Stegostoma tigrinum: one gene and its partners. The protein of the gene in region 1 interacts with the protein of each later gene in a biochemical or structural test. Links are inferred from orthologs where the notes say so. Each region holds a gene or a part of one and is shown on either strand. Other genes may lie near its edges.

What was found.
Region 2: the proteins of pparg (region 1) and grip1 form a complex in vitro, tested with the Homo sapiens proteins (2 studies listed by BioGRID). The link is inferred for Stegostoma tigrinum from reciprocal best matches to the Homo sapiens genes PPARG and GRIP1.
Region 3: the proteins of pparg (region 1) and ncoa4 form a complex in vitro, tested with the Homo sapiens proteins (2 studies listed by BioGRID, with this or other methods). The link is inferred for Stegostoma tigrinum from reciprocal best matches to the Homo sapiens genes PPARG and NCOA4.
Region 4: the proteins of pparg (region 1) and hdac4 form a complex in vitro, tested with the Homo sapiens proteins (2 studies listed by BioGRID). The link is inferred for Stegostoma tigrinum from reciprocal best matches to the Homo sapiens genes PPARG and HDAC4.

The regions. Positions count from the first base shown.
Region 1 is NC_081364.1:24,839,588-24,847,042, reverse strand, and holds the start of pparg (peroxisome proliferator-activated receptor gamma), read right to left. Parts: upstream 3,017-7,455; 5' UTR 2,809-3,016; exon of another isoform or gene 2,726-2,808; intron 2,605-2,725; exon of another isoform or gene 2,496-2,604; intron 1-2,495. UniProt on the Homo sapiens protein: Nuclear receptor that binds peroxisome proliferators such as hypolipidemic drugs and fatty acids.
Region 2 is NC_081371.1:38,284,667-38,292,468, reverse strand, and holds the start of grip1 (glutamate receptor-interacting protein 1), read right to left. Parts: upstream 3,018-7,802; 5' UTR 2,685-3,017; coding exon 2,552-2,684; intron 1-2,551. UniProt on the Homo sapiens protein: May play a role as a localized scaffold for the assembly of a multiprotein signaling complex and as mediator of the trafficking of its binding partners at specific subcellular location in neurons.
Region 3 is NC_081390.1:6,288,859-6,296,627, forward strand, and holds the start of ncoa4 (nuclear receptor coactivator 4), read right to left. Parts: upstream 3,011-7,769; 5' UTR 2,884-3,010; intron 1-2,883. UniProt on the Homo sapiens protein: Cargo receptor for the autophagic turnover of the iron-binding ferritin complex, playing a central role in iron homeostasis. Acts as an adapter for delivery of ferritin to lysosomes and autophagic degradation of ferritin, a process named ferritinophagy.
Region 4 is NC_081360.1:21,568,435-21,575,271, reverse strand, and holds the start of hdac4 (histone deacetylase 4), read left to right. Parts: upstream 1-3,817; 5' UTR 3,818-3,946; coding exon 3,947-4,055; intron 4,056-4,099; exon of another isoform or gene 4,100-4,879; intron 4,880-5,082; exon of another isoform or gene 5,083-5,097; coding exon of another isoform or gene 5,098-5,122; intron 5,123-5,474; coding exon 5,475-5,546; intron 5,547-6,837. UniProt on the Homo sapiens protein: Responsible for the deacetylation of lysine residues on the N-terminal part of the core histones (H2A, H2B, H3 and H4).

The DNA of each region.
Region 1 (7,455 bases):
AGATCCTCAGTTGGGGTTGTTAACCTGGGCCAGAGATCCCTGGACAACAGATATAAATGGGAGATTCAGAATCTCCTCACTTTGGGGATTAACTCTGAACTGGCTGTCCACGCATAAATAAAAGGTCATCGGTAACAGGATACTGGCCTCTGTGCAGTTATTTCATATACAGACTTTCATCTTTTGTATATTAAATATGGAGGTTTTGGCAATTGGGGGTGAGAGGATGGTATACGATGTGCTGATGAGGTAGGGGAGGTTTGAAAGTGATAGTCACCGCTACATGACATCACATAATTATAGAACTGTTAAAGTGCAGAAGGAGGCCATTTTGTCAATATCGGCCATTCAGATGAACATTTCGCTTTATGCAATCCTTCTGTCTGTGCACTGTAATCCTGTACATTTGGTCTTTTTGGACAACAATTTAATTCCCTTCTGGATGCTTTAATTGAATCCACCTCCACTCCACTCCTCACAATACATTCTAGGCCTTAATAATATTTTCTCCTATCCTTTTGGCTTCCATTTTCAATTACTTTATATCACTGTCATTTCGTTCCCAAACCATTCATCTCTCAAAAAAAATTCTAAATTGTTCACCTTATTACATTATAACTTGAATTCATTGAATACTTCTTACCAATCTTTTCTGCACTCTTTCTAATACCTTTACAGCCTTTTGAAAGTGTGGTGCCCAGGACTGTGCGCAATACTCTAGCTTGGGTTAACTAGGGTCTCACACAAGTTCAACATAATCTCCTTGCTCCTGTGTTCTATGCCCTTTATTGCTGTGTCATGTTTGTCCAGCCTGTTCTCTGCAAAGGTTATACTAGCTTGGATTTTACAAATTAGTTTCACTGAGTTAATATGAAAAAAACAAATGAAAACATATCTTTTGAATTTAAAAATTGTACAAAGCATCCCAACCTCCTCAATATTCAGCCTGATGCTTCAGGTCTATGATCCTTCGGTATAAAATGTACAATGTACATGTAGGTTGATTAATAATTTGAATATAATTTCTCCGATAAACTGAAAAAGTGTAATTAGTCAAATAGTCGGGGCCTGCCCACAAATCCATGTGAAATGGAGCTTCAAGAGAGCTGAGGACACCATATGTAACTTGCTTTGCCTGCAACAAATGAAGAAAATATAGTAGTAACACAGTAAATATGAAAAATGTCTTTATTTTTCAAGTCGTCAACACGTTACCATGGCCTGACCTTGTGCAGTAAAAATAATTGAAAAGCATTGGAAGGTAGCTCTGGAAAAGTCAGTAATTTGTAATCTGCTTAGCATGCAGTCTTCTGCTACATTGTCAATGCAGTTAAGCATATTTTCCAGATTTTGTGCTGCAGCGTGGAATCCTGGAAGACCTCGGTGGCCTTTATGGCTTCAGCTGTGGAAATGGGTGGCCACTCACCAGATTCTTCAGGGCCACCAGGATGATAACCTTCCTTTTCTTACGTTGATACATTTCGTCCATTTTCCTGATCCTTGCTTCAGAAACGCTGGCGATCATTCGCGTACCTCCGAGTGTGTGTAGTGTCGTTATGTTTGCAAAATAGTATGGCTTCTTGGACATTACAATCAGAGTCAGCTTTTCAATGCCATCCTGCAACAGCAGGTTCTTTGCTTTACTTTCTGTCATTAAATATTTCATCTTTAAGCAGTAAACAGCAATCTAGCAAAAGATAGTAAATCAGTTCCTTTTCATTGATATTAAAAATGTTCCTTGGTGTATATTCATTTCGGATGTGGGTGAGACCATTTTGGAGCTAATATTACAAGTTTGCTATGATTTTGGCTCTAGCATGTCCTGACACCAGTCTGATTGATTTGAACAGTTACACAATAACGTGTGTATACGTTCTGCTAATCCAGAGTTATCAGTCCAGAACTTAGGTTCATCACAGGCATCCTTCTATTAGATTTCCTGTTCTGCCCACAGAATGGCGGATAACCTGATTCAGAGTTTCAAATTATCTGAATTTGACCCGTCATGATTTCATTGTATTTTAATGTAATTAAATTTATTTCAAAATGCTTAAACATACGTGGCTAAATACTTCAAGGTTTTTTATGAATGTTAACGTCAATAATGTTTCACAAAGCAGTTTAAATTCTTATCGCGAAAAATGCTTAGACCATTGATTAATGCTTTTTACTTGCGCAACATCGTTGTATTCTTCAATGGAGATTTTTGAACAATAGACAAAAGTAGCCAAACATAACATAAACCTAGATAATTTAATTCCCCATCTATGATTAGCATCTGCAAAAGATGAAGTATCAGCGACAGTAACTCCGATAAAGCGACATACCACAGCCACATGACTTAGTGCAACAAACTGGGCACCTCTTCTGAAATATTTATTCAATTTAGCGCTTCTGAAAGGAGTTCACTTAGTTGCTGACAAGAAATAATATAGAGTTGGAGTCATACAAGGTATATATGGTCATCTTTAAAAAAGTGAATGAAACATCCCAACCTGCTCAATAGGACTGTGAAAGTTCTGCAATGTGTTTTCAGGGGTGATGACTTAAGTACAACTGGAGCTGAATTCTTCAGTGCAGAGTACTGTGAGCAAATTGCTCTGTCCAAACTCTTTCCACTCGCTTGGTTACTCGATATTTAAACACCCTCGTACTTGCCCTTCGCTACGTCCCAATGTATTGATTTACAGGCAGTTACATCAGCACTTTTCTAAACGACACTAACCTTGACTCTTCAAAGCATTCAGCACGAATGTCGGTCGCTTCCCCCCGCGGCACTTGCCCGGCAGGAGCAGGCGTCACGTTTACCTGGTTGCTGGAGGTAGATGCAGCTTCTCGCCCCCGATCTTGCCGGGCAGGTTTGCGAGCCGCTCCGCTGTGGTCTCAGGTGCTCGTCGGCAGCGGGTCGCCACTGTCACAGGGTTCGCAGCCACGCGCTCCCCCACTGGCAGCACGGGCGATTGTCACAGCGAGGGGCGGGAAGAGGTGGGCTGGAGCGCGTCACTGCGCGAGAGCGCGCGTGCCCGTCAGCGCGGAGCAGGCGCGCCCCCTGGCCTCCCACGGGATCGAAGCTGACGGCCTGGGACGGTCCGCGCGCCGCCTACCCTCCCCGCTCGGACCGACCTTCCCCGAGTTGCTGGGAGGCTCCGCTTTACTGCGCGCGCACACGCAAGCATAAGCGCGGTGTGGTCCACCCGCAACTTTTATTCTCGGCGGTCACGATCCTTACCACCCTTTATTATTGAAGTTTCCTCAAGCTGAGGGGGAGCTCCCAACTTCCCACGCAAATCGCAACTAGCTTGTGACACGCGAAAGCAAGTCTTTACAGGGTTTTTGTTTGCACTTTTGAACGATAGCTCTGCACTCAGCACTTTTTCCAGTTGTAAAATGGTCAGAATGGTTGAACACTCAAGAAACTTACACGGGACAATCCGCATCTGTTAAAAAAATTGACGACTACTTCTCTGCGTCAGAACATTTGTAGTGCAGGAGGATAAAAAGACTTAGTGGCATCGCAGCCTAAATTGAAGTGTCAAAAGCCTGGAACACACAGTACTGTTCTTTTCTATATAAGTACGGCCTGCGGAGTTTGCCACTGCTCGTACCTCGAAGTCTCTACCATTTCTGCCAATATTTGGCTACACCAACTTGGCGTTTTTGCCAAAGAGACACTTCTTGTATCAGGCAGTTAGCACCCAAAGGGTTAACTGGCATGATGCCAATCAGAATCTGAAGGATGGTAATGGCCTTGAAGTGTGTCTATATCTCAGCTAGAGACTTTGGGTTCCATTCCACCTATCCCAGAGGTGTGTCATAACATGCCTGGACGGATTGATTTAAAATAATTGTATAAGGCTGTTCCTGGGGGGAGTTAACTAGTTCTGCGTTTATTGACAATGTTTTACTAGCAGCAAAATGGACCTACTCTTAAGTTGAACCTGATCGTTCACAAGAGACCATCTTGTATTTCAGATGTGATGTAACTATTTAGTAATATATAACAAATGTATTTACTGTTTCACAAGAATTACTCTTTCTTCTGCTGAAAAGATTGTGTAGGCACCTTCCCCTTCATGAACTCAGAAGCGTGGACTGCTACCACTAAAAAAGGTTAGTGGCAGTGAAGCTACTGAGAGCTTCCCAGCCTGACCATTATAATATGCGTCAATAGTGGTCACCTGAAGATTTAATTTAGCTGCCCATTACAGTATGCTGGCGGCGGTGGACATCACTGTCTCACATAATATGATAGCGGCAGTGAACACAACCTGAAGAAATCTTCAGAACTACAAACACCTCAGCCATCTAAAGAAAGTAAGGAAGGCAATACAGTGTGGAGCTGGAGGAACACAGCGGGTCAGGCAACAGGAAAATCAATGTTTTTCAGGTTACTCCCTTCACCGGGACTGTTGGCACCTCCACATCTTGCTATCTCCGAATAAGAAAGGCAAACTCCTCTCAGGAAACTAAGTCTATTTTTAAATATCAGCAACTCAGAAGTTTCTGTCAGCTTCTGTGAATGGAGTAGCCAATAATTAAATGAGAACCACCACTGACAGCAAGTCCAATGCGGCGAGTAAAAGCTTAGAACAGCTATAAATGGAGAAATTAGTGAAATAAAAACTTGAATAGGCCATGGAAAGTCTTAGAATTACAAGGGAAAATATCCAAATCACAAAACCAGATTACAGTTGTTGATATCAAGACACCTAAAGTAAATTAAAACCATGAGTAGAAAGGCAAAATTTTGTATATTTAAGGTGGGTGTCTAGCCTATATCACTGAAAGAAGATTTAAAATGTTGCTTAAGTTGATCAGAACTGTTATAATTGTTTTAAAGTATCAGGAAAAGCTGCGAAAAATTCTTTATATAAAGGACCCTGATCAATAACATTCAGAAAACAGCAGTATGAATTGACTGATAAATGTGGAAAAATTGAACTTGGAAAAGTTTATGAAAATTGTTTTGAAGGGGAAAATCAGCTGAAAGTATTTCTTTATGAACTCTTAACATTCAAGCAAAATAGTGCAGAAAGCTCAGAGAAGAACCAAATGGGTGAGTCATCCATAGCCTTAAAAAGGGCAATTAAATCATGAAGAGTAATGGGGAAATGGTGCAAGTTAACAGTTTTCTTAGGACAGAATACTAAATACTAAATTCCTTACTTAAAAACATTTTGGTGTGATTTAAGTGTTTGAAAATAATTTTTCAGCATAAATAGGATAATTCTGAATACAGAAATTCTGCAACTTTGACATGAATTAAGAAGATTTCTGAAAAGGAAAATGAGAAAATAGAATATAAAATGTTTGCAGGCATGAAGAGACCTTAAGGATAAAGTTTTATTAGCAATTCATCTTCAATTTCTAGTGCTTAAAGAAAATGTTGCAATCTTTAGAAAATGTGCTGAAGAAGATTCAGCATCTATTGGAATTGAAGTGTTTATATAATTTAAAACAATGAACAATAAAACCAACTATATGTACAAAAAATATAAATTTCATGCTCTCAAGTGAATAATTTCTATAGGAGAAACAGTGGCAGTTTGGTACAATATCAACGGAGAAAGATATTACAACTCCAAACAGAATTTAGATCACAAATCCTTCAGACACAGCATTGCACAGCACTATATCAGAGAGATAATTCATGCAATATAGACAACACAGTATGAAGCTGGAGGAACACAGCAGGTCAGGCAGCATCAGAGGAGCAGGAAAGTTGATGTTTTGGGTCGGGATCCTTTTCTGAACAAAGTTCATGAATTGTCTCTTCGATATAGTGCAGTGCAATGCCCTGTCTGAAGGATTTGTGATCTAAATTCTGTTTGGAGGTGTAATATCTTTTCTGAAAAAGGGTCCTGACCCGAAACATCAACTTTCCTGTTCCTCTGATGCTGCCTGACCTGCTGTGTTCCTCCAACTCCATACTGTGTTGTCTCTGACTCCAGCATCTGCAGTTCCTGCTATTTCGCAATATTTTTGTGAATATTTTTGGTTTTGGTTTTGTGAAGGGAAGGTTGTGCCTCACAAACCTTATTGAGTTCTTTCAGAAGGTGACCAAACAGGTAGATGAGAGTAAACCGGTTGATGTGGTGTATTTGGATTTCAGCAAGGTGTTCGATAAGGTTCCCCACAGTAGGCTATTGTATAAAATGCGGAGGAATGGAATTGTGGGAGATATAGCAGTTTGGATCGAAAATTGGCTTGCTGAAAGAAGACAGAGGGTGGTAGTTGATGGGAAATGTTCATCCTGGAGACCAGTTACTAGTGGTGTACCACAAGGTTCGGTGTTGGGTCCACTGCTGTTTGTCATTTTTATAAATGACCTGGATGAGGGCGTAGAAGGATGGGTTAGTAAATTTGCAGACAACACTAAGGTCGGTGGAGTTGTGGATAGTGATGAAGGATACTGTAGGTTGCAGAGAGACATAGATAAGCTGCAGAGCTGGGCTGAGAGGTGGCAAATGGAGTTTAATGCAGACAAGTGTGAGGTGATGCACTTTGGTAGGAGTAACCGGAAGGCAAAGTTCAGGGCTAATAGTAAGATTCTTAGTAGTGTAGATGAGCAGAGAGATCTCAGTGTCCATGTACACAGATCCTTGAAAATTGCCACCCAGGTTGACAGGGCTGTTAAGAAGGCATACAGTGTTTTAGCTTTTATTAATAGAGGGATCGAGTTCCGTAACCAAGAGGTTATGCTGCAGCTGTACAAAACTCTGGTGCGGCCTGCACTTGGAGTATTGCGTACAGTTCTGGTCACTGCATTATAAGAAGGATGTGGAAGCTTTGGAAAGGATGCAGAGGAGATTTACTAGGATTTTGCCTGGTATGGAGGGAAGGTCTTACGAGGAAAGGCTGAGGGACTTGAGGCTGTTTTCATTCGAGAGAAGAAGGTTGAGAGGTGACTTAATTGAAACATATAAAATAACCAGAGTGTTAGATAGGGTGGATAGGGAGAGCCTTTTTCCTAGGATGGTGACGGCGAGCACGAGGGGGCATAGCTTTAAATTGAGGGCTGAAAGATATAGGACAGATGTCAGAGATAATAAAATGTGAGGCTGGATGAACACAGCAGGCCAAGCAGCATCTCAGGAGCACAAAAGCTGATGTTTCGGGCCTAGACCCTTCATCAGAGAGGGGGATGGGGTGAGGGTTCTGGAATAAATAGGGAGAGAGGGGGAGGCGGACCGAAGATGGAGAGAAAAGAAGATAGGTGGAGAGTTGCAATGGGAGAGAGATTCCCTGAGGTTGGTCCGGAGGGAGGAGGGTAACTTCTTCAGGTTAGGCATCCCTGGAAGAGGCTTCGCAGTGAGGTTAAAATAGTATCAGAGATAATGGGAACTGCCGATGCTGGAGAATCCAAGATAATAAAATGTGAGGCTGGATGAACACAGCAGGCCAAGCAGCATCTCAGGAGCACAAAAGCTGACGTTTCGGGCCTAGACCCTTCAT
Region 2 (7,802 bases), on another chromosome or scaffold:
AGTATCAAGGAACGTGGAGGAGATGGGAGCATGGCATTGTGGCTTAAGATCAGCAACGACCATGCTGGAATGGCACAAGTCTGATGGTCCAGCTGATCTATTATTGCTCCTGTTTCGTGTTCACAAAAGCTCACAAACTTCCAGTGGTTATTTTTAAAAAATGATGAATATTTGCCGATCTTATCTGTGGCCCCAAAAATTCAGGCTAAATCAGTTGCCCTCTGAAGGGGGCTAGTATCACATTTGCATCACATCTTCTCTTGGAAACTGGAATAAACACCCCAAGTGTTAACATTGTCACTGACAGCCGCATTGCAAGAAGAGATTGTTAAAACTTTCACATGGGCATTTTAAAATACTTTTGAACATGAAACTTAAAAGGCAATGTTGTAATACAGCACAAGATATTATGTGCCAATAGCTACCATTACAAATTGTCCATGAAGCAGAAGTAACTTTAGAATTCACATTTGGGTTTTATTTTATGGGAATTCAACCAAAGTGACCCAATTCAAATTCAGAAGCAATACTGGAACACGTTACTATTTTAGGAATGCATTGACCTAATACACATTAAACCATTTCAAAAGCACTTCTTTCATAAGAGCATGAATAAATGTCTTGATCAATTGGTACATACAACAGATCTGTTAGATGTCATCTCCACTAGGATGATGGCTGACTCAACAATACAACATCATCTTTTCAGGGCCAGCACAATTTGTGTCATTACACTAGACAGTTCTGTAAACAACAATCAATAATGGCTTAAATGTTGCACGGGATGGAGAAGAGTACAAAATGAGAGTGTTGAATTAAAAGGTTAAAAATTCAAAATTCAACTTTAAATCTATTCTCATACATCCTACCACATGAAATCTAAACAGAGACAAAATTATTGGACAGAAGCATTTCTGTTCTTATTTTGTCAGTCAAAGAGTAGCACAAACAATGTTCATGGATATATCAGTGGCCTGAACCAACTAGACCTGTTCTAATCAATGTCAAACAAAGCGGGTTAACTCAGAAGAAAAGGAAAATAATAAAATGACTGCTATATACGAAAACGCAAAAGAGTGTTTGTGTTAACCAAAAAATGTTTTGCTCCAGCTCTATGTGACATCTGGGGGAGAGCATCAATTTCACCGTAAAACAAAAAAAACTAAAGAGCTGTTCATACTTAAGTAATTTCATGTAAATAGACCAAATAAAACTTGCTACATACCAAATAAAATTTAAACTACTATACTGAATGCACCAAAAGGATAGAAACAGAAGGATAAACTTTTAATTTTTAAAATAGAAATATGTACAAAAGTAAACTTCAAAGATTAGATTCCTTCTATCATTAGGTGAAACCTGTAATCAAACTGTAATATGGTCGGTAAAACTGTAAGCTTGTATGGTGACTGGTTGCTTGGACGTACAGTGCACAGCAGAATCCATACACAAGACAGATGTCACAGGATGTAACAGGGTACCTCCCTGACCAATCAGTTGATCAATGACATAGCTCTACACAAATCAGAAATGGCCCAAGCTTAACCTTCAGCATTCCTTCATGTAGCTCAGCTCATGATAATGCTTAAGCTGCAGTCAATGCTCCCAGTTAAAGAGGAGATTTTAAAAATACCGCCAGGGTGCTAGTCTTGAGCAGTACCCATCGATTCCTGCTTAAAAGTGCTTGGATGGATATTTGAGTCAAATAAAATGAGATTTGGCAATACACCGGACTGGTCAAATAGCCTAAAAAACATTAATTAAAGTGGTGCGTCCGTGGAAAGTGGCTGGTTTCAAAACATCTCAGTGCAGCTGCAGAATTTCATCTCAGCATGAGGGATCATCTTCACGAGGGGTTGGGGGAATGTTACCTTGCTTGTTTGTAACACCAAAGTTATTTAAACAAAGTCTAACAAGTAGCATTACAGACGTAAATAAAAGCTTTTGTATTAATCAAATGGATTATGCGCAGAATTCAACTCTGTTTTCAAAGCATTATGCAAAATCCTCAAATGCAACTTCTTTCTTAGTGGCTACCTCGGGCATTTTCTGTCGGCTGACAGGAGTCAAAGATCAAACCCAACAGAAGACTCCAGTCGCTGAAGACAACAAGATAGATCCCTGCAGTAATGGACTGTTTAATTATTCATTCCCAGCTCTGAATTTGAACGGACATTCTTGCTCATTTACTTCTACAAATTATTCAAAGCAACGCACACCTGAAACCATCTGTCAGTTGAAAACCCATCAACACACCAGCAATCCCTGGGCAATATACACGTGGAATTGGAAACCACTACTGTTTCAAAGGCATGTCCTAGACAGCAATACAGGTCAACACATCCTCAAGGGATATGCTGTATTCTGAGCACGGTCCTTGACAGTTCATACAGGCCAAGCGGCAGCAGAAAGTTTTGACAATAAAATACTAAATGATCATTTGCTTCCTCACATCTCATTATAATAGCCACTTGAGTGGTAAGAACACCGAAATTGAATTCCACATGCCTTGCTGCAAACTACTGTTAAAGAATAAGAAGTTCACACTTACTACGCAGTTGTTCAGAGGCATAATAGTATACATCTTCATATCCCTCATGATAATCCTCTTCTGGTCTATATTTCTTGCTTTTCCTTCTCCTCGACCTTCTCATTTGTTTCATAAGGTACAAAAATCGGTCCATGCTTACGCTTGTACCTTGTCAACCTGTTCACTGTCGAGGCGTTTAGCGGCAGCGCTACTCAACACAAAAGTGACAGAGCAGAAGTGGGCAACATTAAATAGACTGAAGGTGGTTGCACACTGCAGCCTTTTTCAAACTACAGCTCTCAGAGCCGTTTTAAACAAAGCTGCTAATATCTGTTAGTAAAGGCCAAGACGGCGTTTGAAGATTGAAGCCATCAAACTTAGAGCTGTAAAAAGACTGGAGAAACACCGTCTGACATTGTCCAAAAGGAAAGAACAAAGTTCAAATGAACTACTGACGGTGAGGGCAAGGAATCCCAATGCTTGGATTGCACTATCCAATCCCTCTCCTACTTATTTCATCACTCAGGGGGTGGGGGCGTGCATGCATTAATTTCTACCGACTGCACCAAAATAAAAAAAGAGATCAAACGTTACTCAACTTAATAATTAAGTCCTTCCACTTCACGCACACAGTGAAGCACACAGGATGCTGAGTAGCGGCTGACTTCATCTGCCAAAAGAGGGTTTTACAGTGGGAGAACACCACACACACAGCGAGCGAGCTAAATGGTTCAATCCACTCAGCACACTCGCAGCCAAGTGTCAATGTGTTAATTACAGCGGTAAGGAAGCTCAGCAGCTGTTTAAACTGACACCTTAGCTCTCTGGACGGTTGTGTTCAAATTGCGATTTGTTTTCAATGTTCAAGGTATTACCATGAAACCACAACATGTTCATCAGCAGTGGGAAGACAATTAGAGGTGGTTCAGGATACTTGAGTGTTTGATCTTTCAACCGAGTTTCCAAGCAACAGACAGACAGACACACACACACACACACACACACACACACACACAGAGTCAAGGACAATAGATTCTTACTGTTTAGATTCTCAGCAGCGTGAACGGATTAATTTTTTTGGGGGAGGAAGAGGTGGTTAACAGTCTAGACAAAAGTTAAATGCTGATTTTTTTTAGTAAAAGCACAAATCGCTTCAGGATAACACATTAATTACATATTCACAGATAAGGTAGGAATCTGTAAGGAATGCAAAATAAAATTACATTCCTTTGTCAGTCAGTAAGGCATCGTTTGCATAGAGTCGTCAAACAGTGATTTTAGTGCAGTCCTTTGTTTTACTGACCCGAGACTTCCAGCAGCCGGAGGTTTCGGATTGCAGTTAATCAAACCATTTCTCAATGAGGATTGCTGAGTGGGGTATTCTGTTCTGCTGTGAACAAGATTTTCTTCGATCTAAGTCAACCAGCAAGTCATTTCATCTTCAAATGAAATGTACTTTGAAGTCACCCTGAGGATCAAGTACCTAGTTTCTTTTTGACATGGCAGCTAAATTTTGATCCTTTGCTTTTTTTGTGAAAAGGAACATGACACACTAGGGAATCAGGAGGAGTTATAAAATTATTTCTAAATTACATTTGAATAGAAATGCTAGTTTTGAGAGACTGTCTAAAGTTATTTCAAAACAACTTGTATACAACCAAAAATCGATTTAATTAAACTATAAATATATTAAATTTTATTGTTGCCAAATGTGGTAACACGGCTATGTTGTTGGTCTAATAATTCAAAGGGCTGGGTCCTATTGTCATGGAGTCACGAAGCACTGAAACTGGCCCTTTGGTCCAACTTATCCATGTCGACCAAGTTTCCCAAACTATGCTAGTCCGATGGGCCACCTTCCTCTAAACCTTTCCTATTCATGTGCTTTGTCTTTTAAATGTTGTAACTATACCTGCATCTACCACTTCCTCTAGCACTTCGTTCAACCTGTGAACTACTCTGTGTGACTAAGTTGCCCCTCAGATCCCTTTTAAGTCTTTCTCCTCTCACCTTTAAACTATGCCCTCTAGTTGTGATGTTCCCGACTCTTGAGAAAAGAACTTTGCCATTCACCTTATCTATGCGCCTCATGATGTAATAAACCTCTATAAGATCACTCCTCAATATCCTACGCTCCAGTGAAAACAAAATCACAGCCTATTCCAGTGGTTAGCACTGCCGCCTCACAGCGCCAGGGACCCGGGTTCGATTCCAGCCTCGGGCGACTGTCTGTGCGGAGTTTGCACATTCTCCCCGTGTCTGCGTTGGTTTTCGCCGGTTTCCTCCCACAGTCCAAAGATATGCAGGCTGGGTGGACTGGCCATGCTAAATTGCCTGAATTGTTCAGGGAGGTGTAGATTAAGTGGGTTATAGGGGATGGGTCTGGGTGGGATGCTCTGAGGTTCGATGTGGACTTTTTGGGCCGAAGGGCCTGTTTCCACACTGTAGGGATTCTAATGATTCTATCCAACCTAGCCTTATAACTCAAAGCACTCCAGTTCCGGGCACAACCTCCATAAAATCTTCTCTCTGCATCTTCTCCAATTTAATAAAATACTTCCTACAGCAGGGCAACCAGAACTACACACAGTACTCCAAAAGTTAATTCTCCAATGTCCTCTACAATCTCAACATGGATGTCCCAACTCCTATTCTCAATGGTCTCAGCGATGAAGGCAAGCATACCAAATACCTTCTTTATCATCCTGTCTACCTGTGATGCTACTTTCAAAGAACAATGTACCTGACCCCCTAGGTCTCTGTTTGGCAACGTGACCCAGAGCCCTACCATTAACTGTACAAGTGTGCCCTTGTTTGGCTTATCAAAATGCAACGCCTCCCATTTATCCAAATCAAAGTTTATCTGCCATTGGCCCAAGTGATCAAGATCTCTTTGTAATCTTAGATACCTTCTTCCCCATCCATTACAGCACCAATTTTGGTGCGATTCTCGGAACACAAGTTCATATTCCAACCCAGTAGTTGTAAAGTTTATATTCCCTTCACTAAATGAATTAGAACGAAAAGTTAGAGTAATGGGGACTGTGTGATTCCAGTGGACAATCATGGTAATATCTTTTCTTGAAGGAGACCTTCTGATCTTACCCTGTCTAACCTAAGCAACTCTGAATGTGCTATGAAATGGTGGGAATGTGCAGGTGCATGTGAAATTTAAAAGTGAATAAATGGTTGGCATCAACACCGCATGACATTCAGACCTGACCCTGCAAAAGCACAAGATAATAAAATGTGAGGCTGGATGAACACAGCAGGCCAAGCAGCATCTCAGGAGCACAAAAGCTGACGTTTCGGGCCTGGACCCTTCATCAGAGAGGGGGATGGGGGGAGGGAACTGGAATAAATAGGGAGAGAGGGGGAGGCGGACCGAAGATGGAGAGTAAAGAAGATAGGTGGAGAGGGTGTAGGTGGGGAGGTAGGGAGGGGATAGGTCAGTCCAGGGAAGACGGACAGGTCAAGGAGGTGGGATGAGGTTAGTAGGTAGCTGGGGGTGCGGCTTGGGGTGGGAGGAAGGGATGGGTGAGAGGAAGAACCGGTTAGGGAGGCAGAGACAGGTTGGACTGGTTTTGGGATGCAGTGGGTGGGGGGGAAGGGCTGGGCTGGTTGTGTGGTGCAGTGGGGGGAGGGGATGAACTGGGCTGGTTTAGGGATGCAGTGGGGGAAGGGGAGATTTTGAAACTGGTGAAGTCCACATTGATACCATATGGCTGCAGGGTTCCCAGGCGGAATATGAGTTGCTGTTCCTGCAACCTTCGGGTGGCATCATTGTGGCAGTGCAGGAGGCCCATGATGGACATGTCGATGTAGAGGTCAGTACGCCATACTACCACTGCGCCACCCTTGTCTGTCAGTGGTAGTATGGCGTACTGACCTCTACATCGACATGTCCATCATGGGCCTCCTGCACTGCCACAATGATGCCACCCGAAGGTTGCAGGAACAGCAACTCATATTCCGCCTGGGAACCCTGCAGCCATATGGTATCAATGTGGACTTCACCAGTTTCAAAATCTCCCCTTCCCCCACTGCATCCCTAAACCAGCCCAGTTCATCCCCTCCCCCCACTGCACCACACAACCAGCCCAGCCCTTCCCCCCAACCCACTGCATCCCAAAACCAGTCCAACCTGTCTCTGCCTCCCTAACCGGTTCTTCCTCTCACCCATCCCTTCCTCCCACCCCTAGCCGCACCCCCAGCTACCTACTAACCTCATCCCACCTCCTTGACCTGTCCGTCTTCCCTGGACTGACCTATCCCCTCCCTACCTCCCCACCTACACCCTCTCCACCTATCTTCTTTACTCTCCATCTTCGGTCCGCCTCCCCCTCTCTCCCTATTTATTCCAGTTCCCTCCCCCCATCCCCCTCTCTGATGAAGGGTCCAGGCCCGAAACGTCAGCTTTTGTGCTCCTGAGATGCTGCTTGGCCTGCTGTGTTCATCCAGCCTCACATTTTATTATCTTGGAATCTCCAGCATCTGCAGTTCCCATTACCCCTGCAAAAGCACAAAATTGTTTCAGCGCAGAAAAACACCATTCATCTCATTATGTCTGCACCAGCTCTCTGAATGGGCATTATGACTTCGTGCTATTCTCCTCTCTGTTCCCTTTAACCCTGTACATTGTTTGTATTCAAACTAACCATTACCTCATGCCCGCTTGCATATTTTTAATTGAACTTTTCCCCAATCAAACTTCCAGGCAGTACATTTCAGATCCCGACTGCTCAAGATTGTGAAAAAGTCTTTGTGAAAAAGGCAAAAACAAAGTCCATTAAATACTTGCCCTCTTGTTCTTCACCTTTAACAACTGGGAACAATTTCTTCATGTCTGCTTTGTCCAAGCTTTTCAGGATTTTGAAAATTTCTATAAACTCTCCTCTGAGCCTTCCCTTCTTCAAAGAAAACAGTCCCAACTGCTCTAATCTATCTTCATAAACTGAAGTTTCTCATTCCTGGAGCTGTCCTTGTAAACCTCTTTGGCAGTCTCCCCAGTGTGTTCATATTCTTCTTAAAGTGGGCCTTCCAGAACTATAAAATACTCCAGTTGATATCTAACTTGAGTTGTATACATATTCGGCATAACTTCCTTGCTGTTGTGCCTAACCCCACAATAAATTCTAGGATACTGTACATTTTATTAACTGCCATTTATGGCTGTCTTGCCATCTTATACACATATACACCTCAGTCACACTACTCCTGCACATCCTTCAAAATATTGGACTTACAGTTTACAATGATTCCAAGTTTTGTA
Region 3 (7,769 bases), on another chromosome or scaffold:
TTTTAGATAACTCGCTTATTTACAGTAGTAGCAAGCGAAATAAGTTATTAATAATAGATAAAAGGTGGGTTTAAATAAACAGAAGGAGCCAGCACTTACTACTGAAACCAAATTCAAGCAATGCAAATTTAGCTAGATTAAAAGGGAACATTACATGGAATGAAGACAATCTTCCTGTAAGGATAATTGATGAATTTTGATATTCTTTGATGATTAGTGGCCAATCACATAGGATGAGACAAGGAGAAATAACTTCACATGAATGCAATAGCATAGTGATAATGTACTAGTAATCCAGAGGCCCAGGCTAATGTCCTGGGATATGGGTTTGAATCCCATCCTAGCAGATGTTGAAATCTCAGAGAATCACAATTGTTATGGAGACCATTCACCCCACTGTGCCTGCACTCATTCTATGACCTAGTGCCAATCTTCTGCCTTCTCCACCCATTCCTGCATACTATTTCTATCCAAATGATTATCCAATGCCCTCTTGAACATTCGGTTGAACCTACCTCCACCGCATTTTCAGATAGGGCATTTCATACTGCCATTACTTACCATGTGAAGCTATATCTCACATCATCTATGCTATCATTGTATATATTTAAAGTTGGAATAGACAAATTTTTGGTATCTCAGAGAATCAAGAAATTATGAATGGAAGACAGGAAAGTGGAACTGAAGCCCAATTTATACTAGGATCCAACTAGGGTGGTGAAGCAGGTCTCCCTCTTATTTTTTGTATTCTTAGAAAAAAAATCAATTTTCACTTTTAAAAAATAGCATTTGGAATTTTCACTTCTAACCACAGGCTTCCACTGATTATGGCAAGAGCATACAAGACTTTAAATCTCACCTTGTAGCTTTATTTTTAGTCTCAAGCCCCTTTAACTGAATTCTGAAACAAATTTAACGCAAACTGCAAAATAAAAACTGCATTACATCAACTACAGACTTCACTGACGCCACTAAAGTTTTATGACCTTGAAAAGATTGTGATCTCCCTTATCGTGGTCAGTGACATACCTGAACTACAGCTCATGGTGTCAACAAATTGTCTTGGAGATTTCATAATCTAGACTATGAAGAGATTTTGTTCCTCACAAAAACCATATAAGCTCAGACCACACTAAGTAATGTCTTCAAAACCAGAATGAAGAAAAACACTCCGTGATGCAAATAACCTGGTGGCAACTTCAGGGTGAGTTGACTGGGTTCAGGATTGTCACATACAATGTAAAATTAAAATAGGTCATTCAGCCTCTCTCCAACATCCTCACGTTATTATGTTGTTTTTAAATTAAATGCCTGATACAAAAAACAGCTTTTATGGTGGGATTTGGAGACATTCAGGTCCAGTTTTATAACAGCTGATGAAGATCACCATTTTAGCCAAGGCGAATGACCGGGAACACGTACACTAAATTGTTAATTCTTGTGTAACAATACAACATTGCATCTATTTGAAAAGATTCACAGGTCCCAGGCAAATCTTTCTTCTTAAGAAATATCAATGGGATTTTAACTGCTCCTAAATTACTGACATTGAAGTGAATCACAGCTGTGAAGAAGCAAAGTCCTTCATTTGTTGAAAAATTCTTTAAAATGTCCTGAAGAAATGAAAAATGCTATACAAATGCAATCTGGTTATTTCTGCCAAAGTACATCTCTAGCTATATCACAAAGACTGAAGCAATTGCAATGTCTTTCTGCCTGATGTTGTTGAGTGTCGTGAGCATTCCTAATTGTCACATGGAATATGACTAAAATAATATATAGTCCCTTGGTGCTTATAACATATAACTCAGGCTGCGTAGGTAGTTAATTATTTTAGTAATGGTTGGCAGTCAAAACATCCACATTGGCACTTAAAAGTGCTCGATCCTTGACATAAAAACTAAAACCAAAAAGGCAAAGATAAAAATAGAGATATTCCTATTAGCATATAATTATGTTTGCCCTAAAGTCTATTCACAAAACTACTCAATTGTTCAGTTTATAAAATGGCTTACTAACACACATTTTACAAATGAAAACTTGCTTTGTGAACTGCATATTTCTAAGTGAGCAGAAACATATGGGCCCTGTTTGAAAGCAGTGTTTGGCATCACAGTAACATACAGACAAATGAATTAGGGGCAGAAATAAGCTATTCATCCATCTATACCCACCACCCCAACTCCAAGGGGGCCCATGTGGGTATCAATGGTCTTTTTGATCTGAAGAAAGTGAGGGGAACTGAAAGAAAAGTTGTTTGAAGTGAGGACAAGCTTAGCTCCAGGTGGAGGCATATGACGGTGGACGGGGACAGTTCAGGCCTTTGTTTCCAAGTAGTAGCTGAGCACCTGAAGACCTTCCTGATGGGGGATGGGCGTATAATGTTATGGTAAGGAGGGGGCGGCTGGTACCCGTGAACTGTAAATTCTGAAACTGGGCAATCCCGTTTGTGGACTTCGGGAAGAAGGTAGAAGTGAGCTGTACGGGGTTTGGGAACTATAGGTTTGGAGCCTGTGGCTTTTCCATCGCTAATCTGTTTGTGTTTTTGAATTCCACGTTCCATCTATCCCCAATGACCCACCGCGTCCGTGTCCGACAAGAGTCCATGTACCTCTGAATATGTTAAGGCAGAATTCCAAAGCCTCTGAGGGTTACATTTCAAGGCTGAGATAGACAGATATTTACTCTTTAAGAAAATCAAGGGTCATAGGGAAGAGGCAGGAATGTGGAATCCAGGATGTCAAAAGGCGGAGCAGGCCCGACGAGCTGAATGGCCTACTTCTGCTTCTCTGTCTCTGATATTATCCAGCCTTTCTTCCCGCAGACCGTTTATCTATTTGTTTATTTATTTATTTACACCCCCTCCCCCGGTCCCTCTCTCACCAGCCGCTCCTTTCACCGCCGGCTCTGCTTCACCTTCAGCCGCGCGCCCTCTCAAACTTCCGCGAGACCGGTGCGGGCACGCCGGGGGTAGGGGGGAGGGGAGAGAATTGCGGACCTTCCCAATCGTAGCGCTGGCGAGAGGAGGGGGAGTTGCTTGTTGTTATCTCCTTTACGGCCGTAAAATCAAACACATTCATCATTGTTTAATTAACAGGTAACATTTTAACCGTAATTTCTTGGTAAAGGTGGTGTTATATCGACGTTGGTCATTTTAGAGTTACACCGAATTAATCAGAACAACCCCTCTGTTTGCCGGATAGTTTGATCTAGAACACCCACGGTGATGTAACTCTGGACGCGTCCATATGTGACGGCGAGGGGGGGGGTGAACAACAAGCGGAGGTCGAGTCCATTTTCAGCGAGGGGAGGCTGGGAGATGATGTTGCCGGGGATCTCCCATGTGTGCAGAGGCAGATACATCACTGGAAAGCATCACGACCAGGGCAGGTTATTGATAAAGGTCGGTTTGTTAAGGCACCGTGGAGACGTTCAACACAGAGTGAGGGTGGAAGAAGGAGGAGTGAAGGGAGAAGGGGATGGAGTGAGTCAGGAAGGACTGATGCAGTTTAAGAAGGCCCTCACTACATCCACCCCCTCTCGGGATTACAGTTGATGCTCAAAAAAATCCTGGCCTTGCCGATGATGCCAATATCCTGAGAAAGCATTTAAAAATGTAAAATGAACTTCTAATGAAGTAGAGTTAAGGAGCAGTAATATGATGCGGTAGTCTCTGAACCTTAATTGAGCCGTTGTTGCATCATGGTAGTGCCCCTACTTCTGAGCCAGAGTGCTTGGATTCAAGTCCCACTCCGTCCAGAGGATTTGTTTTTTTGTTGTGTATCTTTATTTACTCAGGCTTTGAGAGAAGGGCCTCTATCTGTTCTGAACTTCTACGGGTGTTGAAGGTTATACTGTATCAGCCATTAGAAGACAGGCCAAATCCCACTTGGTCTGGCAAACTAGAATAAAACACAGAGGGCTTGGGGACCGCTTTGCGGAACACCTCCACTCGGTTTGCAATAAACTACTGCACCTCCCAGTTGCGAACCATTTTAACTCCCCCTCCCATTCCTCAGACGACATGTCCATCCTGGGCGTCCTGCAGTGCCACAGTGATGCCACCCGCAGGGTGCAGGAACAGCAACTCATATTCCGCTTGGGAACCCTGCAGCCCAATGGTATCAATGTGGACTTCACCAGCTTCAAAATCTCCCCTTCCCTACCGCATCTCAAAACCAGCCCAGCTCGTCCCCACCTCCCTAACCTGTTCTTCCTCTCACCTATACCCCCTCCCATTTCAAGCCGCACCTCCATTACAGACCTACTAACTTCATGGCACCCCTTTGACCTGTCCGTCCTCCCCGGACTGACCTATCCCCTCCCTACTTCCCCACCTATACTCTCCTCTCCACCTATGTTCTCCTGTATGCATCTTCGGTCCGCCTCCCCCTCTCTCCCTATTTATTTCAGAACCCTCTCCCCATCCCCCTCTTTGATGAAGGGTCTAGGCCCGAAACGTCAGCTTTTGTGCTCCTGAGATCCTGCTTGGCCTGCTGTGTTCATCCAGCTCCACACTTTGTTATCTCGGATTTTCCAGCATCTGCAGTTCCCATTATCTCGAGTCACTCAATCTAATGGTTTTAGATGGAATCCCCCAATGTTTAAATACTGTGGTGGATAACGGAGATATTGTCAACCAGTTTTTATGCCCAAGGACAGGGGACTTTGGTTCATTTGGGAAAAAAAACTTAAAGTAAAAAAATGGAATTGCCAATATTTCTAGATTTATTTCCTGAACACATTCATTATTTTCTGCAGTAATATTTGCTGCAAATTTAGAAGAAACATCAAATTAATATGAGAGAAATCCATAGATTTGTACATCTTGGTAGGAGAGTATTCAGCCATCATGCCTGTACAGTTTGTCTCATTCTTCTACATTTTCTATGGACTCTGGTAATTTTGTTCTTCCATAATAGACAGGGAGAAACTGTTACTATTGTTGGAAGCATCGAGAACCTCGGGGGGCTTAGATTTAAGTTAATTGATGAAAGAAATAATGGGAACATGAGAAAAAAGCTTTTTTTACAGCAATTGATTAGGACCTGGAATATAGACAATAGGTGCAGGAGTAGGCCATTTGGCCCTTCGAGCCAACACCACCATTCATTATGATCATGGCTGATCATCCACAATCAGTATCCTGTTCCTGCCTTATCCCCATAACCCTTGATTCCACTATCTTTAAGAGCTCTATCCATCTCTTTCTTGAAACTATCCAGAGACTTGGCTTCCACTGCCTTCTGGGGCAGAGCATTCCATATATCCACCACTCTCTAGGTGAAGAAGTTTCTCCTCAACTCTGTTCTAAATGGCCTACCCCTTATTTTTAAACTGTGTCCTCTGGTTCTGGACTCACCCATCAACGGAAACATATATGTACAATGGACTCAGTTGAGGCAATCAAGGGGATTTGGAGCACTAACTGAAAAGTAAAAAAAACGTAGGGCTGCGGGGGAAAAAGAGGGGTGGGACACCAGGTAAATTGTCAGTTCAGTGAATCAGTGCAGACACCAAAGGCCGAATAGCCACTTGTGCTGTAATCGTCTGTCATTAAGTTTTTTTTTCAATGATGTTTCCATTTCCATTTCCCTTTTAGAATTTGTTATATATTCTGTTTCCATCATCTTCTGGTAATGCATTTTACATCTTCATAAATCTTTGGATTATGACTAGCTTCTTATCTATCCCTATGCCACGAGTACAAATCTTGCTGGTTAGGCTGCAGTGTTAAATTATGTCTGGTAATTTGGCACCTAGCATGAGATAACTAACTATAAACACTACAGGATTGGATGAAATGTCAAAACAAGGCCCTGTATACCATCCCTGACGAGCATAAAAGATACCATGTCAATATTTTGAGAAATGTGTGGGGTGTTTGTCAATATTTACTACCAAATAGTCCTCGATTTAAAAATAGATAATCTGGACACTATCACACTCCTTTCTGCTTGTGGGAGACTGTTATGTACAAATGTGTCGCACTTCCTACATTATAACAGAAAAAACACTATAAATGTATCTAATACCTGTCATAAACACACCTTTTCCTAATTTAAATGTCATTTTTCATCCAGGGAGCTCTGAAGTTATTAGTCCGTCTATCTGTCGTTTTTGTGCAAAATACCATGACGGTACCCTAACCATCTCCTCTTTGAAGATAGACCATTGCCCAGTTACTGTTTTTGCTGCCACCCTTTCATTCCATTCTATCTAGTCCAGCTTTGTTCTTGCCCAGGTGAAGTTGGTTTCCTGCCAGATGATCGACTGTTGTCATTCTCCAACATTGTACTAAACCTTGTGATGCGACAGTTACTGTCTGCTAAATGTTTCTCCCAGTACAATTGATCCACTTATTTGGAATATCATTTATTGTTGTCTGTACTCAGGTACAGGAGTACAGTGAAAAGATTTGCAATGTCGCCTGTTATGTGCCCATCTTAGGTACAAGTACCTAGGTATAAATCTTAAATACTAAACAGAAATAAAAAGAAAAGTAGTTGCAATATTTTACAGTGTGTAAAGAATAAGTTAGAAATAAGACATAGTTAAAAAATTGAAACTACAGTCAGATTTTAAAAATTCAAATAACATTACATTGCAGCCGCTCAGCATAGGGGCTTCCACAAGTGGTCTGACTGCCCACGCCGCAGCCCAATTCAACAACTATCCCCACTATGCTCCAAACCTCCAGTCCACTCCATACTCAGCTGCTCCAAGTTAAATTCCAGGACTGCATCCCCCATGCCGCCCTCCATCTGGGACTCGCTCCTTGCACCAGCCGCTGCTCCGGACAGCTCCCCCATGTCAGTCCTGCTCCAGGACTGCTTCCCCTGCACTGACTTGTTTTCATTTCTAACCGTCAGCTCCAACAGTGCGTCGTTTCTTGATGGACACATGTTGCAGTAGGAAATGCCCCTTAAGACAAGCTAGAAACATTCGCCCCATTTGCTGTCCCTTACTCTACCAATATGCCAGCCTGTATTTGGATCATTTAAGTCCCCATTATAATTAATTTACAATGTTGGCATGTCTGTTACTTTTTTGCAGATTTATTCCATTACATCCTTCCTTGTAATTGGTGATTTGTTGACCAAATCAAGCAGTGGAATTGCATATCATTTTTATCCCTCAGCTGTAGGCAAATTGAACCCTCTGTGGCACCCTTTTTCTCTCACATTGCAATGCCCTCCTTAACTAATACCTCCATCATTCTTCTGTTTCTTTTCTTACCTTTTCTTAATACCTTGTATCCAGGAAGATTAAATCTATAGTCCTGACCTTCTTGATGTTCCTTGGATTATCATCACAATATCATATTTCTACATTGGCAATCTATACTGCCTGATCTTATTTAGTACATTCCATGCATTCACGTACAGTTGACTTTGACTCAGACTTCATTGCTGTCTTATTCTGGCTTCACCTTTAGTTTACTGTTCTTTATGCTAAAGCTTTCCATCTCTCCAAATATTTTGTGAGCCCTTGTATTCTTCTCTAATATCCTCCCATAGTTCCCACACCCCTGCCAAGGTAGTTTAAAGCCCATCCAGCAGCAGCAGCAAAAAACCCACAAGGAACTCAGTCCCAGTTCTGTTTAGGTGTAACCTGTCTGTATTGTACAGGTGCCATCTTTGCCAGAACCAGTTCCAGTGTCTCAGAAATCTAAAACCCATCTAAAGTCTGTACCAGAAAAGTCTGAAGAAGGGTCTCAACCCAAAATGTCAACTTTCCTGCTCCTCTGATGCTGCTTGGCCTGCTGT
Region 4 (6,837 bases), on another chromosome or scaffold:
TATGAAAGTACATTTATAAAAGTTGTGATTTCCTTTCAATTGCAATAAATTTGACATGAATGTGCAGCATGTTTTGTTTCATTTGCCAAATTATGCATGTCAAATTCAGACATTTGTCTAAGATATTTGCACACCAAACATGTTGTTTGACTACAGATTTTATTCCTCACCAACTCTCTTAAGTAGATAGACTGTTTGTTTTAAATTTTCATCCGAATAAGGTAAGTTAAATCTTGTTAATTAAGCCATGGCAATGTTTTTAAAATAATCTTAAATTAATCTCAAAATGAACCTTAACAGCAAGAAGAGAGTTTAAATGTTAATGCAGATCACCAGTGAAAATAAAATTACCTATTGTATATTTGTACAATTGAATATTTTTGGCATGCTTTTGTATCATTATTTTATTGAGAACTGAGCAATGTTTTGATTTAACTCTGGAGGTGGATTGTGCTGTCCCCATCATAAGTGCTACATTACAAAACCGCCAAGAATTTGATGATTTGAGAAATTTGGACTTTTGGTCAACTCTAGGAGAACAGAATCTGCTTGGATTTTTTAAAAGAGTATCTGCTGTGTCCTGAGCTTGAATAGTTTTTTTAAAAAACTTCATTCAGAGAAGGTGAACTTTGCTGGCTGGGCTAACAGTTTTTGGCCAATCCTTAGAATATGGGAATTAGCTACTGCCATCCATCTTTTATCTAGATATGCCCTCAGTTTTTAATAGTGGGGACTCGAGGATCTTGACCCAGTGCCACTGAACGAATGGCAATATATCCACTTTAGGATGGTGAGTGGCATGGAGAGGAGCTCGCAGTTCAAGGAGTTCCTTTGTATCTGCTGCCCTTATCCTTCTAGGTCATGTTCGGAAGGTGCTGCTGTCTAAGGAGTTTGGGTAAATTTTTGACAGTGCATCTTGTAGATGGTAAACACTGCTAATAACTATGCATCGGTGGTGGAGGGAGTCATTTTCTGTGGATCTGGTGTTAGTCAAGCAGACTGCTTTGTCCTGGACGGTATCAAGCTTCTTGAATGATTTGGAGCTGTACGATCTAGGCAAGTGGAGAGTGTTCCATCACACTCCAGACTTGTACCTAATGGTGGTGGTAGAAAAACACTGGGGAGTCAGGAAGGTGAGTTACTTGCTGCTTACTGAGATATCTAACAAAGCAAACATTTATTTACACTGTCTGTTGATTGCAGTAAGCTTGTTACCATTGTTTTTCAGTCAATCTGTTAAACTCCAGAAGAAAGAAAGAACACTTACAGCAATAATACTAATTTACAATTTTTGGTTATTTTAGCTGAGGGGATGGTAGTGCACAGATTTTTAAATGGATTAGTGGTAGTACATATTCATGAAGCCCCATTTAGAATACAGTGTCCAATTTTGGGCCCCGCACCTCAGAAAGGACATACTGGCCCTGGAGCGTGTCCAGTGGTGATTCACACAAATGATCCCTGGAATGGTAGGTTTAACATATGATGAACGGCTAAGGATCCTGGGATTGTATTCATTAGAGTTTAGAAGGTTGAGGGGAGATCTAATAGAAACTTACAAAGTAATGTATGGCTTAGAAAAGGTGGACGCTGGAAAGTTGTTTCCATTAGGTGCGGAGACTAGGACCCGTGGGCACAGCCTTAGAATTAGAGGGGGTAAATTTAAAACTGAAATGAGACGACATTTCTTCAGCCTGAGAGTGGTGGGCTTGTGGAATTCATTGCCACGGAGTGCAGCAGCGGCCGGGACGTTGGATGCCTTCAAGGCAGGGATCAACAAATTCTTGATCTCACAAGGAATCAAGGGCTATTGGGAGAGTGCAGGGAAGTTGCATTGAAATGCCCATCAGCCATGATTTAAATGGCGGAGTGGACTCGTTGGGCCAAATGGCCTTACTTCCGCTCCTATGTCTTATGGTCTTAAGACCGATTGTGTACTATTTATGTTAAAATGAAGAGGATAATAACACAGAAATTGGAATGCCTTCTGTCGACTCATGTATTGTTTCACATTCACAAAGATCAATGAAGATTAGGCTCGGAAATAGCCAAGATTAGCAGAACCAGGTAGAGATAAATTTAAAGAATTGATAATTTCTCTGTAAGGAATACCTCCTATTAGTGCATTAAATGGAAGTTTGATCTTTCTTTGTAGTCTGGTCATAAAATAAAATTTGTTGAACCTTTGAAGAATGCTGGTTTAACAACTTGTCAAATCATCAGTTTTTCTTTGTTTTTCTCCAGTATAACACCATTTCCTTTTGGATAGGCTTCAAGTTTGTTGCAATTGGATTTATGAGAATTATTTTTTGTAAATAAAATGACGTACTTGCAACTAATTACTAGTCAATTTATACCAAGTTAATTTTGAAGTATTTCTGGCATTGTAACAATACCTTTTCTCCTGTTAACTGTAGTTGATAACAAATCTTGGTGTACAGCAATATTAAAATAATCCCTAGTTTCGGTAGTCATATTCCAAAGGGTATGCATCTCTTTCCTTTACTTTATAAATTACTAAACTATTAGAACAATGATTTTGAAATGTAAAGAAAAACAATATTTTATGTATTCTCTGATCTACATCTTCAATGCATTAAAATTTAAAATTTCCTACTCATCAAATTATTGCTATGTTCAACCTCACATCTGCAATGTTCTCCTTTCCCAAGTCAGTGGTGTCGTCTTGACATTCCTGTCTGTAAATCCCTGCTTTGTCCAGCTATTAAACGCAAAGGCCACAGTGACCCTGACTTCTCTTCTGTGAAATTTTCTTTCATCTCCTCAAAATGTCATTTGACCAAGCTATCTGTCCTCCCCTAACTTCTTCCCCAGCTTTGCTGTTCAATTTCTTTTTGAATTTGTGAAGTGCTTTGGGGTATTCTTTTACTTAAAATTTATAATGAAGTAGTATTTATTGTTATGTAACTTTGTTATCTTGTAGAATTGCTACTCGATTGACAATGTCGATCAGTAATTGCTATCAGTTTAGATTAAGTATTTTAATGAATTGAGAATTGCGGCTATTAATGTTTTATTGTCATGAGCTGCCATATTGAATATAAATACCCTTCATGGCAACTTAAGAAATAAATATGGCTACTTCATCTACAAATACCATATGTTCTTGTGTAATGATTTTATAAATTGGCTCACGTTTAAATTTATAACGAAACTAATAATTAATATTAGGCTGTTGTTACTTTGGCTCGCAATTACTTTCACTGTCTTAACTTATGCATAATGTTTTCCCCCCAGTGGGTTTCCTACATAAAATTTGCTTATGATATATGCGGAGTAAACTAGTTCGCGCAATTTGCAATGTGCTCATGTTGACGGCGGACATCTTAGCAACATACGTATTCAACAGAGTATAGGTCCCTTTTATATTCTCCTAATAACTGCAGACAACTTGACAATAGCAAAGTGGAAAGACCTTCCTCGGCACAGGGAATCTCTGAGATTGGGGGTTTGTACCCATTCTCACGGCCATCTAGTTCAACTACCACTATGAACTATGGTTTGACCTGCCGGTTGCCAGTAGTGCACGCATGTTTATAAGGAAGTTATGTAACAAAATTTGGGCACATCAGGAGCGAAATGAAAATCCCATTTCATTCGATCAGCAATATTTTGTTGCCGAAGAAAGGCTTAATTTGCTACTTAGTTTTTATTTTTGAGGGATTTTGTGGAATTCCAAAATCGCAAAAAATAGAGGGGGAATAGGTACACTAATGCATAATATGGATAGGACTTCGTGAACTCCCTGTGCTTTTCGATTTTGGCTGGGGAATGGAACATGAAAGCTGATTGGGTTCAGCAAGTCGCTTTCTATCGCTTTCAATGTAAATAATATGCGACGCAGCTTGACTTTGGCGATTCCACATTGAATAGTGCTCCTTTGCTTGCGGAATATACAATAACTTATTCAGTTCGTAAGAATTGAATGAAATCGGGTCATTTCCTTGCTGATTGCGTCATTATAGCCTGCTGCTGGAGGTGCTTTCTGTCTTTTTACAATGCATTGGTGAAAACTGTCAGAACAAACTCGGGGGGTGAGGAGATATTCATTCTTTTCAGTGTTTCATATTTTAAAAGAAGCGGCGTTACTTACTCAGGTGTCGCAGTAGATAAGCAGTTGATTGGATTTTATGCAAGGAGTTACAATGCAGAAATTTTCCAAGTCGCCTGTACTGTATAGGAGTCACTGTAAATGGTACGTGCAATGCTTCTCCAAGCCGGTCCTCATACTTTGATTGTTAGATATTTTTGTGTGGCCTTGAATATGCAGTAGACGGTGGCTTGCATACCAAAAAAAGTATTACCATTGCCTGGCTGTTCCGAAAAGAGTCGAACAACTTCCCTCGTTGGGCCAAGTCATGGAAATGAAGCCAATTTTTTTTCCCTCTGTTTCTATCTGATTTACGCTTAATGTATTGTAATGCCACTTCGGTTGTTATATTACATTTTTGTATAACTAGAGTTTTGATGGCCTTCCGACGAGACGAAATTTGTTTTAAAAACGGCAAGTAAACTGTAGCACCTCTTTCGCCAAAGAGTTAAATGTGTGAAGAGCGAAGTGAAACTGGAGATCTGACAATCGAACAGAGGCGAATTCCAAAACAAGTTGAACTACTGATAATTGTTTCTTTTGCATTAGTGTGAAGCTGAAAGGAATCTGAAAGTCAGTCCAATGCCAGAAAGGTTCACAAAAATTTAATTTTAAAACGAAAGCCTAATCTTGCTGTAAAAACGGTTGTCATAAATCTGTACCCATCGAGCAGAGAATGCAGAATAGGGTAAGATGGCCCATTATATGTGCGTGTAACAGATGCAGGAGTTAAATAGTGTACGACTCCTGTATGTAAGGCGATTTGAAATAAATGTTATTCTCTCGATTTCATCTTTCAATCTGACGTTTCCTGACCATAAACAGAGTTGTTTCTCACTGGCCATTGAGGCCTGACATACTGCGTCCCTCTTGAGTTTATGCATTTTAATCTCCTGCAATGTTCAGGCTATTTTTAGCTCCCACTCCCAGGGTTCGGTTTCTGTTAACAGCAAGCCACATTGTTGGTAAATCACATGTAAAATGAAATGCCTATCTTTCTCTGCTTCCCCAGTACGTACGTCTGTGGCGAACGGTTGATATTGTGTTTTCAGTCACTTTGTCAATTACAAATGCATATTAGGATACAACTTGGAAAACATCGTGAAATTCTGACAATTTAAAGAAATGAAATATTATTTATTCCGAAAGGGCTCCATTGTTTATGATTTGAAGATTGGCTCCATGCCTAGGTAGGCGTGCGGTCTATGTAAACTTTGTGTAAAAGAAACAATCAGTTAAAAGTACTATTCTGGAGAGTGATTTTTGTCCCTACCCCGGCACCCCGCGCTGTTAGAAACAAAACTGCCTGGATTGCAACAGATACTGCAGACTGTAATTGCGACTGAATCCTTTTCAATTTCAGATGGACTTTCCGGTCGAGATCAGTCGATTGAGTTGCTGACCCCTTCAAGAGTGAATCACACGCCCAGTACTGGTAAGACCAAATTTTTAATTGAGACATTCATTTACCAAATAAAATCAAGTCACGAACTACCTTCTAGATGTTGCCAACCCCCAGAATGGAAACTATTTTACAATGAAGAATTGATACTGTTGGCTACTTAGCTGTGTTTTTGTTCATTCCGAAGTGTTCCTTTTTCACTCATGGGACGTTGCTGGTTGGCCATAATTTATTCCCCGTCCCCAATTAACTTTGAGAAGCTGGTATCGAGCTGCCTTACAGAAACGCTGCAGTCGATCTGCTGTGGGTTGAGCACCATGCCCTTGGGGAGGGGATTCCAGTATTTTGACCCAAAGAGAGTGAAAGAACAGCAGTGTATTTCCAAGTCAGGAATTCCAGGGTTTTAATTAGGATGGCAAGTGGCTTGAAGGAGAACTTGGAAGTAGTGGTGTTCCCATCTATCTTCTGCCGTTGTCCTTGTAGATGAGCAGTCGTGAATTTGGAAAATGCTGCCCAAGAATCTTTGAATTTTTGCAGGGTATCTCGTAAACAGAACACACCGCTGCTACTGAGCATCCGTGGTGGAGGGAGTGGATACTAGTAGATGTAGTGTCAATCAAACAGGTGGCTTTTTCTGGACGGTGTCAAGCTTTTCTTGAGTGTTGTTGGAGCTGCACCTAACTAAGCAAATGGCTAGTACTCTTTCAGACTCCTGACTTGTACCTTGTAGGTGGTGCATAGGTTTTGGTGAAGCAGGAGGTGAATTACTCACTAGTATTCCTGGACTATGACCTATTTTTGTAGCCACCATGTTTTGTAGCAAGTCCAGTTGCGTTTCTAGTTGATGTAACCCCCAGGGTGTTGATAGTTGGGGATGGTAGCACAATTGAATGTCAAGGGGCAGTGGTGAGTTGGTCATTGCCTGGCATTTATGTGGTGTAAATGTTACTTGCCACTTGTCTAGATCTCGTTGCATTAAAACATGGACTCCTTCTGGAGCCGAGCAATTATGAATAGTGCTGAACATAATCTAGTTGTTGGCAACATCACCACTTCTGGCCTCATGATGGAGGGAAGGTTATTGATGAAGCGATGATTGATGGTTAGGCCTAGGGCACTATCTTGTGCAACTCCTGCAGAGATGCCCAGAGCTCAGATGACTGACTTGCGACAGCCTCAGCCATCTTCCTTTGTGCCAGGTATAACTCCAACCAGTAGTGAGATTACCCATTATTTCCAGTTTTGCTGGGACTTCTTGACGTCATACTTAGTTGAATGCAGCCACAATGTCGACAGCTGTCACTCTCGCCTCACCTCTGGAGTT